Linked DNA regions of Diceros bicornis minor. The protein of the gene in region 1 purifies or fractionates together with the protein of each later gene. This does not show direct contact. Links are inferred from orthologs where the notes say so. Each region holds a gene or a part of one and is shown in the gene's direction. Other genes may lie near its edges.

The links.
Region 2: the proteins of KCNQ1 (region 1) and AKAP9 purify together in Homo sapiens (affinity purification with western blotting; 3 studies listed by BioGRID and IntAct, with this or other methods). This does not show direct contact. The link is inferred for Diceros bicornis minor from reciprocal best matches to the Homo sapiens genes KCNQ1 and AKAP9.

What each region holds. Positions count from the first base shown.
Region 1 is NC_080770.1:2,284,799-2,291,665, reverse strand, and holds the start of KCNQ1 (potassium voltage-gated channel subfamily KQT member 1), read left to right. Parts: upstream 1-3,849; 5' UTR 3,850-3,871; coding exon 3,872-4,260; intron 4,261-6,867. UniProt on the Homo sapiens protein: Pore-forming subunit of the voltage-gated potassium (Kv) channel involved in the regulation of cardiomyocyte excitability and important in normal development and functions of myocardium, inner ear, stomach and colon.
Region 2 is NC_080742.1:29,433,351-29,440,437, forward strand, and holds the start of AKAP9 (A-kinase anchor protein 9), read left to right. Parts: upstream 1-4,075; 5' UTR 4,076-4,141; intron 4,142-4,583; exon of another isoform or gene 4,584-4,769; 5' UTR 4,770-4,786; coding exon 4,787-4,834; intron 4,835-7,087. UniProt on the Homo sapiens protein: Scaffolding protein that assembles several protein kinases and phosphatases on the centrosome and Golgi apparatus. Required to maintain the integrity of the Golgi apparatus. Required for microtubule nucleation at the cis-side of the Golgi apparatus.

The sequences.
Region 1 (6,867 bases):
GGACTGGCCTCGCAGCAGCCACCCACCCCTCCCTTCCCCAGCCTCGGGTCACCCATGTGTGCTTGATGACCTCTAGGCTCCTCTCACATTTGGCTTCTGACCCCATGCAAGGAACGTGGGGTGAGTATGGTGCACCGAGGGGTGTTGGCAAAGTGCCACTGAAGGGAGGTGAGTGCAGTGTTTCCAGAATGTTCTGAGGCCCAGAGATGGCCCGTGGGCCTGAGAGGCAGGGAGGGGCTGCCTCTCCATCCAAACACGGCCAGGTAGATCCATCAGCCTCTGCATCCAATACCCAGGACGTGACACTTGTACCCAGAGTGACCGAGGTGCCCTCAGGCAGGTCCTGGGGAGGGGGCTGTGGCCAGGAGGGGCTGTCCTCAGTGGAGGGGCATCCTGGGAGCAGCTGGTGAGCTAATGGGCTGGGTCAGGCCTGCTACCCACCGCGGAGCAGGCCTGGCTTGTGCTTCTTGCTCCTGCGGCTGACCCTGCCCCCAGCCCCACCCCCAGCCCTCCACCCTGGGCCTTTCCTTACCCGACCCTTCTCAAGCCCAGCCCCACTTCACCGCACCTGCGCACCTGGCATCCCTCCCTCCTTCCAGCTCCCACCCCTCAGCGTGCCCAGGGGTTCCCAGTGCTCCCCCAGGGTCCTCCTCTGAGCTTGCAGGGAGCTCTCGGCCACCCTCTGTCTAGCCTTCCATGCTCCCCAGCGTCCCCATGCTGGTGGGCCCAGGACCCCCCAGAGCAGCTCCCTCATAGCTCAGGGCCCCCCGAGAGCCCCTCACTTGCTCCTCCGGCCGACCCTGGGCTAGCATGCAGCCCCCTCAAGAAGCCTCCCCAGGTTCTTGGGCAGCTACTTATTATAATATTTTAAATGTGGAAACACACAGGGCGCACAGCATCGTGACTGCGCTCACCGGGGCTCACCAACGACCAATTCAGAGGCGTTAGCTCTCATCTCTACCCGACTGGCGGCCCCTCCCCGCTGATTGTCTCGGAGCAATTTCCCGACATCACCTAATTCTCTCCGGAAACACCGCGGTCCATGCCACCAGTGCGGGCGGCTTCTTTTCACCCTGAGGTTCGGTTCTGACAGGGGAGGGAGGGTAAACCTTCAACTTTTTCCCTCTGTTAACGTTTTCAGAATAATGAGCCCTAGCAACCTACAAAGGGCCAATGAGGATATTTTAGTATCATTATGACTTAATGGGTTTTTAAGATATTTGATATGTTTTCATCTATAATTCTTTGTGAGGCTCAAATTGTTCTGTTGTTGACTGGCCCTTCCTAAAACTCTTCAGTGGACAGAGCTAGAAAGTAATTTTAAGATAACATAGCTGAGGAGTTTCTGCTAATATTCCCGATTCAAATTGAAGGTTTGGTTCATACTTCGATTTTATATCTGTATCTCTTTTCTCTTATACCAAAATTTTTGGCTCCTAAGGAATTTAACATGATATAGATATTATGTATATATTATACACATATATAATTCCAAAGTAACAACACCAATATTATTACCAAGAATATGATTCTTTGGGTTCCTTTCGTCCTCAGAGTGTTAGAGATAATATTGATAGCGGGCTATACTGTGAGGCTGTACCTTAGCATGGTTCAGTGCCCTGGGCATGTTCTGGCTGTTTCCAGTCTTTTGCTCATACAAATCATGTTGCCACCAATAGCAGTGTGCAGATATCATTTTCCACTTTTTCCACGTCTTTGGGTCAGTTCCTAGAAGTGGAACTAACTTGCTGGGGCAAAGGACACATGTGCTTTTGCTAAACCTCCAGGCCCCCTGCCCACCTGCTTCTCAGCTGCCCTGCCCATGGAGTGTGCAAATGTCTGGGTTTTTGCCAATCAGATAGGTGAGCAGTGGTATCAGAGTGTACTTTTAATTTGCATTTTTCTTGTTAGGGCGGCCGTTGAGCCTTTTTTCTTAAGTGCAAAGATCGCGAACCTCTTTTCTCGTGAAACGTTCGTGTCTTTCGCTCCCTTTTCCACGGGTTGTTTCCGTCGTCTTCTCGGTTTTAGATGTTTTTACGTGTCGGTGCTACTGCCCCTCAGCCTGTGAGGTCAATTGCCAACAGCTGTGTCAGCTTGTCATTCGTCTCCACCATTGGAAATGTTTTCCCTACTTCCAGACTGTTGAGGAAGTCTGATAGCATCTGAATGGCTTCATTTCAACTTTTACATTTAAGCCTCTGATCCGTTCGAAATTTATCCTTGTGTTGTGTGCCATGTGGATCCAACTTTATCTTTTTCCCTTCTCTATGGCTCTCCAGCTGTCCCAACACCGCCCATTAAAGTTCACCTTCCTCCTGCTGCTGGGATGCGGATGTGCAGACACTGCTCGCTCGTGCATGCGCTCATTCGGAAATACTGCCTGCCTGCCTGCCGTGTGCCCTGGCCTGTCCCCCTGGTGCCCTGCAGAGGTGGACTCTCTGCCTGTTTGGGATCCTAAGTGACGCACTTCTGAGGAAGGTGCCCTGGCCTTAGTGGTGCCCAAGTCTCCACAGCGCCCGGCACAGGCTGAGACCCACTCCCCTCTTCTCTCTGCAAACACAAACTGTGCTGGCCGTGTGCAGGCAGTCTCCGAGGTGTGGGGAGGCAGGGGTGAAGGGCCGGAGCTGGACTCTGCCCACCGTCAAGAGCTGACTTTCTGGTGGGGGGTACATTGAGTAAATCAGCCCCGGGTGCTCAGGGAAGACCTGGGAAGTGTCTCTTAGTTATGGACCCCGACCTCTGCCTGGGGCAATGTCTCCAGAGAAGCCGGTTTTTTCTATTTGCCACCCTATCCTCCACCCTGGCGTCTGGTCAATGCACAGGGACCCAAACGCCAGCGCAGCACGGCTGGAGGCAGCGCAGGGGACCCGCACAAACCTGATCCCATGACCTACCTCTACACTCACCCTCACCCAGGGAAAGCCACAGGGCCGACTAGCAGCCCCGATCAGGTGGGCAGGGATAGGACACCCAGTCTTCACACTCCTAGGGCTGCCCAAACGCCTCTCTCCCGACCTGCTCAGGCAGCCCCACTCACCATGCCTCGCAGTCAAACTCCATCCAGGCCCCAGCTGTGCCGCCCACAGCCTCCCCACATGCACAGTTCCCACTGGGCCGTCCCTGACTGTCGATGGCCCCGTCTTGCCTCCTGGGTCCGACCGCCCTAGTGGGCACCGACTCAACATCATTCTTCTCTGCCCACAGCGTGCGCCCCCGGGCACCCACGGGAAGTTCAGAGTGTTCGCGGGGCTAACACGCAGTCTTCCTGGCGCCGAGAGGGTCAGTCCGCGAGCCCCAGGGCGCCCCTCCTTCCCTATTTACTTTCCACCTCCTCTTCGAAGAGGCTCAGAGAGGGTAAAGCGGGCGCCTGAGCCCTACCCTGCCCTCCTGCCCAGACCACGCGATTCGCGGTCGCTGCACCTGCCAACCCCGAGCCTTCCTTCCCGGATCCGCTGGAGGCTCCGCGCCCGCAGAGCAGGTGGGCGTGGGGGGGCGAGCACGTGGGTGCAGGTGGGGATGAGCAGGCAAGCACCGAACCGGGCAGGCCCAGCAGGTGAATGCGAAAGGGACGGGACGAACAGGTGGGCACCCACCCGGATGGGACCAAGCAGGTGAGCGCGGACTGGGCGCCGCGTGCGCGCCGGTTGGTCAAGGGCGGGGCGTCCGGCCCGGGGCGGCGCACGCCATCCCCAGGGACTGGCCCGCGGCCACCGCCCCCTCCCGGCCCCGCCCCCTACCCCCGGGCGGGGCGGGCAGCGGCCCCCCGCGGCGGGGCTGGCAGCAGCGGCTGCCCGCACTGCGCCCCGGCGCCCGCCTTCTCTGCAGCTCCCGGTGCCGCCGCCCGGCCGGCCCCCGCGGGCCCTGCCTGGCCATGGCCGCGGCCTCCTCCCCGCCCAGGGCCGAGAGGAAGCGCTGGGGCTGGGGCCGCCTGCCGGGCGCCCGGCGGGGCAGCGCGGGCCTGGCCAAGAAGTGCCCGTTCTCGCTGGAGCTGGCCGAGGGCGGCCCGGCGGGAGGCGCGCTCTACGCGCCCATCGCGCCGCCCGGCGCCCCGGGGCCCGCGTCCCCCGCGTCCCCTGCCCCGCCCGCCGCGCCCCCCGCCGTCGCCGACCTTGGCCCGCGGCCGCCTGTGAGCCTCGACCCGCGCGTCTCCATCTACAGCGCGCGCCGCCCGCTGCTCGCGCGCACGCACATCCAGGGCCGTGTCTACAACTTCCTCGAGCGCCCCACGGGCTGGAAGTGCTTCGTCTACCACTTCGCCGTGTGAGTATCGCCGGCGGCCGAGGCCCGGCACCGAGGGGCTTTCCGCGGGGCTGGGGAGGGGTGTCGGGGTAGCGCTGTGCCCGTGACACCTGCTGCCGCACGGACCACGGTCGGAGCTGCGACTGGGAGCAGCCGGGAGGGAAGGAAGAGGTTAACAGACAGAACAGAAACATCGTGGAGCCTGTCCCTTGAAGTTCAGGGCCGTGTGGCTCTGAGCCTGTGGGGGCGGGCAGTTCCCGGCTGGCCCTGCCTGGGCCTGTGTGTGGCGGGAGCCAGCTGGGGAGGGGTGCCAGAGCCCAGAAGTTGGCTCCACTCCTCGCTGGAGGGACGGTCCAGGTGTTAATCCTTCTGGGAAAGGACATGTGCGGGGGGAGCTTGCTCTTGGGTGCAGGGGAGAAGATTCCCCAGGGTGGCCCTGTAGGGAAGACAGGAACCCCTAGAGGGGAGGGCCCTCTGCTCCTGCAGCAGCATCACAGACCCTCCCAGTCAGGTCAGGCCTCTTGGCGGTGGTGTTCCCTGAGGGGTCAGCACGGAGGTGGGGAGTGCCCCCTGCCCCAGTTGAGGAACCAAGCTCATGAAAACTTGGATTGAAGCGAGGAGCCTGGAGGGGGCACGCGGAGGGGAGGGGTTGGGCCACGTTGCCAGCTTCAATCAGAGGAAGCTGTGCACGGGGAGAGGGCAGGGCCCTCCAGGCAGCACCTGGCCCCTGCAGTTACCCAGGTGCTTCTAATTCATGGTGTGGCGCCTGCGTGAGGCAGGGCAGGGCAGGGCACTCCGTTTCAAAGGGACAGGGGCACGAGGAAGTTACCTCCTCGGGGCCGCCCTCCTTGCTGCCTGCTTGAGCCCTCCCTGCCTTCCATGGTCCTACTTCCTGGCTGCCCAGCCCACGGCCTCTCGGTATGGTGCCAGCCTCTATCCTGTGAGCCTTCACTCAGCCATCCCCACGCTGATTGCGGGGGCTCGTCCGGGGGCCACACGGGTGGCCTCCCTCTGGCTTCCTAATGGTGGTGCCCGGCGCTCATCCCTGCTGCCTTGGCTGGCCTCGGGCAGGGGAGACCTGGCAGAGGAGCGTCCAGGTCCCGTTTTCTCCCAGTGGCAGCTGCCACCAGGGCCCCCAGGATGCAGCGGAAGCCAGGCTCCAACCAGCTTGGAGCATCATCTCGGGCAGGGGCGGCGGGGCGGGGCAGCCTCAGCTTCTCACCTTGCTCCGCTGTGAGTGCAGGTGATATGGGGGTTGCTGCCCTCCCTGCTGAGGGGCAGGCAAGTCTGGGGGTCAATGTCCCTGAAAACATGGGTGGACCACAATCTTCAAGCCTCTTCTCTACCCCAGCCTCCCAGAGTGTGAGAGGGCACGTGAGCTGTGACCGTGGCTGTGGGAGACGGGGGCCCTGCCCGCAGCTGCAGCAGCACTGGCTTGTCTTGGGGTTTGGGGGAATGTTCCTGTGCAGTGACCCCAAGGGATAACCCCCCGAGTCCCACACCAGCCATGTGAACACCCAGCCAACACCAGGCTGTGGCGCTGCTGTGCATGTGGGCTGCCCGCCTCCTAGCCCTCACCTGCTGGATCCCAGACTCCCTGAGATGTCCAGGGTGGGATGGACCACACAGCAGGGTCCTGGGGAAGACCCTGCCCAGCTGTTTCTCCATCCTGGAGCCCTGCACGCCAGCTCCAGGCAAAGGGGGGGAGGCGTGGGCAGAGGATTGCCAGGCGGTCTGCAGTGCCCCCCACTCCCGGAGGGCCGCCAGGGTGAGGGGCCTCCAGACACACCACTGGTTCGGGTCCGGGGTTTGCAGGCCGTGGGCGCGCGTCGCCCTGTGGAGGAAGAGGGCTCGCCGCACCCCAGAGGAAGTCTCTGCTTACACTTGTGTTTTCTTCCTGATTCTGATTGTTTAGCCCTCGGAAGTTTGCTCAGCAGAGTCTGCCTTTGCCCAGCCTCCCCAGGAGCTGGCGGGGCAGGGGCGGCTTCCCCTCGGGGAGCTGGGAAAGGGATGCTCCTGAGAGTGGCTGTGTGACCTTGGGTCAGTCTTTTCCTGCTCTGGGCCCTGTCCTGCAAGAGTTGTGCTGTGGCCCTGGGGAGTGAACACCCGCCACATTCCCCCCGTGCCGGGTGGGGCTGGAGGGGGACACTGGCCAGGCAGGGTGCGTGGCTTGTCTGGGGCCTGGGAAGTTGCCCCCTCACCCCTACGTCTCCAGGAAACTCACAGAGCCCAGGTGCTCTCTGAATCAGCCAGTCTCTTGAGGGAACCTGGCCTTCGAGCTGGGACTGCAGCTTGTGGCCAGTGGCTGGAGCGTGGCCATGGCCCTGTGAGGGGGGTGCACAAGGCCCGCTCCAGCCCTGGTGTCGCTCTAAGGAGTGTCCGAGATAGTGGCAGAGAAAGAGCTGTGTCCTTGGTGACGTGGATTGTGAAACGTGCAGGATTATTGTTGCGACCCGGGCCTGGCTTGGTTTCCGGCCCGAGAAGGACGAGCCTGGCCTTGAAGGGCCCTGGGCGGGCTGGTGGGTGTGGGAGCTGCTGTCCTGGCGGGCCCTGCAGGGCTGGGCACACTCTCCCAGGCGCAGCTGGGGAAGCAAGCCAGGATATCCTGTCCCCCCCATCGGGGAACCC
Region 2 (7,087 bases), on another chromosome or scaffold:
TACAGAATGGGTGAGGTGTATAACAAAATACAGTGAGTGAGGTGCCTTAAAGAACTGGATTAAAATTTTAAAAGCCTATGTACATTTTAAAGATTTGTGGACAAGGACATGATTGAATTGCATATTAATAATTTACTCCAGTAAAAACTCCAGAAAGCCACAAGTTAAAGAAAAAACAAAACCAGCTTTGTAAGGGTAAAATATGTCTGCATTTAAATGAAAATGAGGTTAATAAGTCAATCATATAGTATTGTCATTAAAATATGTGTGACACATAAACAGAAATTAAGCACATAGGAAAACTCAGGATAATTGTGCTATGGTGAGATACATAGTTCAAATATTTAATGAAAATCACTTGGTTAACTTAAATGAGTTATATAGAATTTGGCAAAGATCCAGAGAATGGCAACTAAAATGATCAAATATATTTTAAATAGACCATATAAGATAAGGCTAGAGAACAATTATTTAATCCACAAAAGAAAAGGCTAAATACAAACTGTAACGTCCCTCCTCCTGAATTTAGGGGCTATACTTTGTATTTTGTCCCAGACAATATAGAAGAGAAGAACCATCTTCTTTTTTCACACAGAATCTAAGGAATTGCCTCAATTGCTGCTGCAGCTTTTGTGAGGTCAAGGTCTAGTGATATATATTGGCTACTAAAATGAAATGACTGATAGGTTGCACCTGACCAATTTGTGAAAGAGCAAATAACATGGAAATGGCAATCACAATGTACTGAGGGGAGGGACGGAGAAAGCTTCTCAAAATATGATTTAACTACAGTTAGAGTTATCTCCTGTTTGCTGATCACACTGGTACTCTTCACATACTAGTTTGCTGTCTTGCCAATGAGGAACTAACACTATTTAAATGGAAAATATAAAAGGTACCTTTAGAAATCTTGAATTTAATTCCTCTGGGGAAACAAGTGTAGTGCAGTATTCTCACTATTTGGAAGACAAGTCAACACCAAAAGAAGTGTAGATTACTTATGAGGTTCACAGACGTTATTAACACAAAATCACTAGAAGTAACTCCAATCAGGGATGACAAATAGATATCACTTCCCTTTTCAACTCTGGTCCATTGGAGCGACTTCTCTTTGTGAGAAGGATACTGAGGCAGTGTTTGCACTCAGTAGGAAAGAGTTGACTGATTTAAAGTGACTTCCATGGAAGCCTCCAATGACTTTCACCTTGCTAAATTCAAGGGTTATTTCTCAGTCCTCATTTTACTTAACCTGTCAGCAGCAGCTGCTACAGTCCATCACTCCCTCTTCCTTCACTTTCTTCACTTGGCTCCTGGTTCCTCTTACCTAGCTAGCTGCTGTTCTCAGTCTCATTTGCTGATTCCTCTCACCTTCCCTCCCTCTTAGAGTTGGAGTGCTCCAAGACTCAGTCATTGTATCACTTCTCTATCTAAATTTACTCCTTAGAGCAACGTGATCTAACAGAAAAATCACGTGAGCCACAAATGCAAGCCACATATGTAATTTGAAATTTTCTAGTAGCTACATTAAAAAAAAAGTAAAAAGAAACTGGTGAAATTCATATATATTTTATTTAACCCAATATACTCCAAATATTAGCATTTCAACATATAATTAATATAAAAATATTAATGAGACATTTTAAGTTCTTTTAATACTAAGTCTTCAAAATCCAACATATGGCATATCTCAATTCAGACTAGCCATATTTCATGTGCTCAATACTACATGTGGCTAATGGCTGCTATATTAGACAGCATGGCCCTAGATGATCTCATCCAATCCCTTAACTTAAAATGCCATCTATATGCTGACTACTCTCAAATTTACATTTCTTGCTTGAACCTCTCTCCTGAACTCCAGACTCAGATATCTAAGGGCCTACTTGACATCACTTCTCGGATGCCTAATATGTATCTCTGACTTATTACGTCCCAAACTGAACTCTTGGTCTCCTCCGTATTTACTTTTCCCCATCTCAGTTACCGGCAACTCCATCACTTCAGTTGCTCAGGCCAAAAATGTTGGAGTCAACCTTGACTCTTCCCTTTGTCTCAAACCTCACATTCAATCTACAGGTCCTATGGCACTATTAGTTCCATGTTCAAGAAGTATCCAGAATCTGATCCCATATCATTACCTCTAATACCACTACCATAGTCCAAATTCCCATTATGTCTTGTCTGAATTATTGTGATGGCATCCGAACTGATCCCACAGTTCATTCTCCTCAAAGCAGTTAGATGTTCTTTAATAATTAAGCCAGATCATCTCACTCATTGGCTCAAAATTCTCTAATGGCTCTTGATCTCACTCAGAGTAAAAGCCAAAGTCCTTACAATGACCTTCAGAACTCTACAGGATCTAGCCTCCTGTTACCTCTCTGACCTCACCTCTTGCTATTCTCCTTGCTCACTCTGCTCTGGCCACTCTCACCTCCTGCTTTTCCTTTAACACCACAGTCATGTTTCAGCCTCAGGGCCTTTAGACTGGCTATACCCTCACTAACCCCAGGGCTCACTGCCTCGCCCCTTTCAAGTCTTTGCTCAAATATCATCTTCTCAGGAAATGACTTGAATGAATGAATGAATGACATGACATCAATGAATAGGTGCCACAAGGATGCATCAGAGCACTAGTGCCACATGGTTGCCCTTCTAACAGAAGCCAACACATAATTAACCTAAAACATTTATTGAACACCTACTATATATAAAACAGACATGTATGATTTGCTGCTCTTAGTGAAGGGAAACATTAAAATAATCCTATTGCTTTAGAAGGTGTTCTGGAACATTTTCAGCACATACTGGAACAAGTAGCTGGCTTCCTTAGTCACTGAGAAAGCAGTATCTACTAAAAAACAGGAATATCTTGTCAGATATTCTAGGGCTTCCTCCTCCTAGGCAATCAGAATCTACAAACATAATCCCTCAATCCAGGCAGTTCTAACTGCACTGTTAGAACACTTGGTTCCAGTCCTAGCTCTACCCTGAGCTGGGTGAGTGATAATAAATCACTTCTTTTATTGTCTCAGTTCTTTTATTCCTATGATGAAATGTCTAATCTCACCCAGTTCCCAATGCAAGTTAAGATAACAGGACAATGTATACTTGGGTGTTACAAGCTGGCACACTTATGTATGCATTGTGGAGCTTGAGAAAAAAGAAATTGTTTTTCAAATCTAAGAATTTCTAAATCGGGACTATTTAAAACTAGTCTTCAGTTTGTGGTAGACTTAACGTCTTTAATCTTTTCATTTTCCTTTTTTAATCCCAATTTTCACTTAACACCACTTCTACGATTGAACTCATAGCTTATTTTAGTTCACACCTGCTAAGTTTTTCAGTCCAACCTAGCTCAAAACAAAGGAGAAACGTGATCAACCTGAGAAATCAACCCGAGACATTAAAATGTGTAGTTTACCCCAGGAATTGATTTGCGTGTAGGAGTGTGGGGAGAAAAAAGGAAGTACGTGAGGGAGCAGCTGAAAAAAAGGAGAGTAACGCTCAATTTATTAAAATGGCTCAATTCAATTCAACGTGTTTATGGGCGCAAAGCACTGTGCTAGCCATTTTAGTAACGCCAAGATGAGCAAGAAAGTCTCTGCCATCAAGGAGCTGGGAGTATGAGCTGAACACAAATTATCAAAATATCATGCAGAGTACATAAAGGAAATACCAGGAGAAATAAAACTGACATTAATTGAGGACATTTTCATATGCCGGGGCAGTCACATATATTAACAACCCTTCCAAAACTTCCAGGTAAGCTCAGGGAGAATAGGTAACATATTCAAGGTCATTCAAGCTAGAAAGTTCGTGTACACTGGCTTTGTCCTCAACCCAGGTTCCCAAGCCCAGGCTCCTTTCAGATCACCATTGCTAAGGAGAAGCTCCAGTGAGGAGTGGGAGGGGAACAAGTTGACAGTATACTCCCAGTTGCGGCAGAGGGAACAAAGAGATCTGAAAAGCTATTCAGAGGCGGCGCGTGAGGTGGGCCTTGAAGGGTGAACCGGAGACTGGGCAGGCCAGTGCGGGGAAGAGGGAGCGACTTGCAGGCTAAGGCGATAATGAGAGCAACTGGATGCTCTCCCAATTCCTCGAGTCGAGGAATCAACCTAGGTTGAAAAACTGACGTCCGGTAGGTCCTCATCCACCCTCCTCTCAATCTTTTCCTTTGGGGCTTTTTAGCGTTCACCAATTCCACCAGTTATTTTTGCAACTTGAAAAAGCTCATTGTTTTAAAGCGACCACTGAGTCCTTTGGATGGTGGGTGGGGGTCTGACGGGGCGCCCCAGGCACACCCCTTGCCTCCCACCCTCTCAGCCAGGCCGCCATCTAGAGAGGGTTCGTCGCCGAGAAAGGGCGCTCTACCCGCCGGTTTTTCGCCTGCGGGACCCGGGGCCCGAGGCTTGGCCGGAGTCGCCCCCACCGCGGCGCCCAGAGCAGGGCCGAGCCGCAAGCGCACCTGCCCGGCGCGGCGGGGCTCGCGGCGCCTGCGCGGACCGACGTGCCCCCCACCCTCACCCCCCCCCCCCTCCGGCTTGTGCCTCGCCGTGTGTTTACGTGGAGACGAAGATGGCGGCGGCGGTGACGCGCTGCTCGTGTGATTGAGGACGGTCAGCCAGTGAGCGCAGAGACTGGTTCCACTCCGGGCAGGGGGAGCGCCGGGCTCGGCCCTGCTCCCTGGGCCGCGGAGCTTGCAGTCTCACCTCCGTCTGAATCGACCTTTCCTTTCTATCGCCGACTCCCTCCCTGTCTTCCCCCAGCCTTCTCCGCAGAGGCCATGGAGGACGAGGAGAGACAGAAGAAGCTGGAGGCCGGCAAAGCGAAGGTAAGAGCCGGAGGCTGCCGGGCCCGCGGTGGGAGGCGGTGGCTGCGAAGCGGTGGGAGGGGGCCTGGGACGCGGGGATCGCAGCAGCCCCGGTGCGCTGCCGAGGAGGGAGGAGCTGCAGGGTCTGCATTTTCCCCTCGCCCTCCTTTTTCCTTTTCCAATTGAAAAAGCCTGGTGTTACTATCTAGCAGATGATACTTCCGTGGTGATTGGGTGGTGTGGTTCCTTTCTCGTGAATGCCCAAACAGAACCCCTCTTTTATTGTTCCGCTATAAACTGGTATTTATTGCTTCTAAATCTCCAACCTTTCACTTTTTTAGAGAGTTTTCCAGGTAGTGCAGGCATTGTGCTTTACAGGGTGGGGATTTGGGGCTTTCCTTTATTCGGTAGGGGATTTGTACGCTCATCGTCAGCTTGGCTTCTTAGGTGGCAAGCTGGCACTCTTGGGTGTGTGATTGGCCTGTGACAGCTGCCTCAGCAGTGGCTTGAGTGTGCCACAAGTACCAGCTGTGAACTTCGCTTTAAGGGCATTTTTAGAAGCGTGGCTTTGTATGTTTGTCTTGGGAGGTCTTTGTCATGGCATGCGCTTTTGTACTGTGTGGAATGTTATGCAGTATGTGAATGGAACTTGTGGGGTTGAAAGCTTCGCTATTTCCAAGAAACACCTATAGAATTCCTGTTTTAAATAACTGAATTGGTATATGTGTCTCGATGAGTCCCTGTTTTATGTGTGTATGAAAAAACCTGTAAAGCAAACGATACGAAATTATACTGGGCTTCATGAAAAATTTGACAGACAAAATATAAATTAAATAGCGTGTTTCTTTTAAAAATTACATATTTGAGCATATCTTCTGGGTGGCCTCAAAGGCTCCTTCCTCCCAAAATGAAGTTACCTTTTACAGTTTATATTTTATCTTATTAGCGATGATTGTTAGCAATCATACTTGGACAACAATTAAATTATAATATAGTTAACTGTTTTTTCTGTCTTTCCTTTCCCTCCAAATAAACAAACAAATAAATAAAGGAGACCGGGTTTATGATTTTGGTAATCATTGAAGGGCCATACTGCGGAGATGCAGTAGTAGATGCTCAACACAAATTTCTTAAATGAGTATGTGTATAAACTAGCTTCATGTTTGTAAAATAGAATACGCTTTTCCATAGCTCCTTCTATCTAAGGTCAAAGCTTAAGGCCAGGTAGATTATTACTTAGAATCTATAAATGGAGGGAAGAGGGAATCAAGGCATCTTCAGAAGCCCAAAGTTGTTTACATTTCTGCAATCTGAAGGTCAGAGCAAGCTCTGTGAATCCAAGCAAGTGGAGGTTAAGTGTGCACCTCCTTCCAAAAGCATTGAAGTTCTAATAGACATTTCGTTTGTTACCTAAAAATTTTTACTGCCTGCCCCAGAAGTATCTTTCCTAAATATATGTAAAGTAGTCCTACAAAACGTAGTTTACTTTGGACGACGCATTTCATAGTGGTTACAGGATTTATTTGAATTGCTTAGAGTTTGCAGAAAAGAATTCTAGTTTCTTTGTTTGTATGTGTTGTTTGTCTTTCGAAATTCTGCCTATGGAGTAAAAATCTTTTCTTTTAACATTCACTTCTATTGTAGAAGATTATCTTCTTCTAGTGTTGAGCCCAGTTTTTCCAGTAAGAAATAAATCTGTGAAACTTGTAAGGCAAGGTATGTTTGCTGGAGCATTAGCTATACAATATAAAAAGACTGGAAACAACCTTCAAAGAGAGTATTAGAATCGTTTTCTAGACTATAAGTGTGATGGAATACTATGCAGCCATTAAGTTTATGAAGACTGATAGGAACATGGAAAATAAAGTGAAAACATCATCATCAGAAATAGTGTATACATTATTTCATTTGTATAAATGTGTGCTTTTAGATTAGGACTTAAAAATTTTGGATTATAAATGTCAAGTCATTCAGCAAACCTGTATTGGAACTCTTGTTTGTTTGTTTTTTGTAAGGAAGATCAGCCCTGAGCTAACATCCATGCCAATCCTCCTCTTTTTGCTGAGGAAGACTGGCCCTGGGCTAACATGTGTGCCCATCTTTCTCCACTTTATATGGGACACCACCACAGCATGGCCTGACAAGCGGTGCATCGGTGCGCGCCCAGGATCCAAACCTGGGCCCCCAGCATCGGGGCGCACGCACTTAACTGCTACGCCACAGGGCCGGCCCCTTGGAACTCTTGTTTTATACTAAGGTTGGGAAATATGGAGG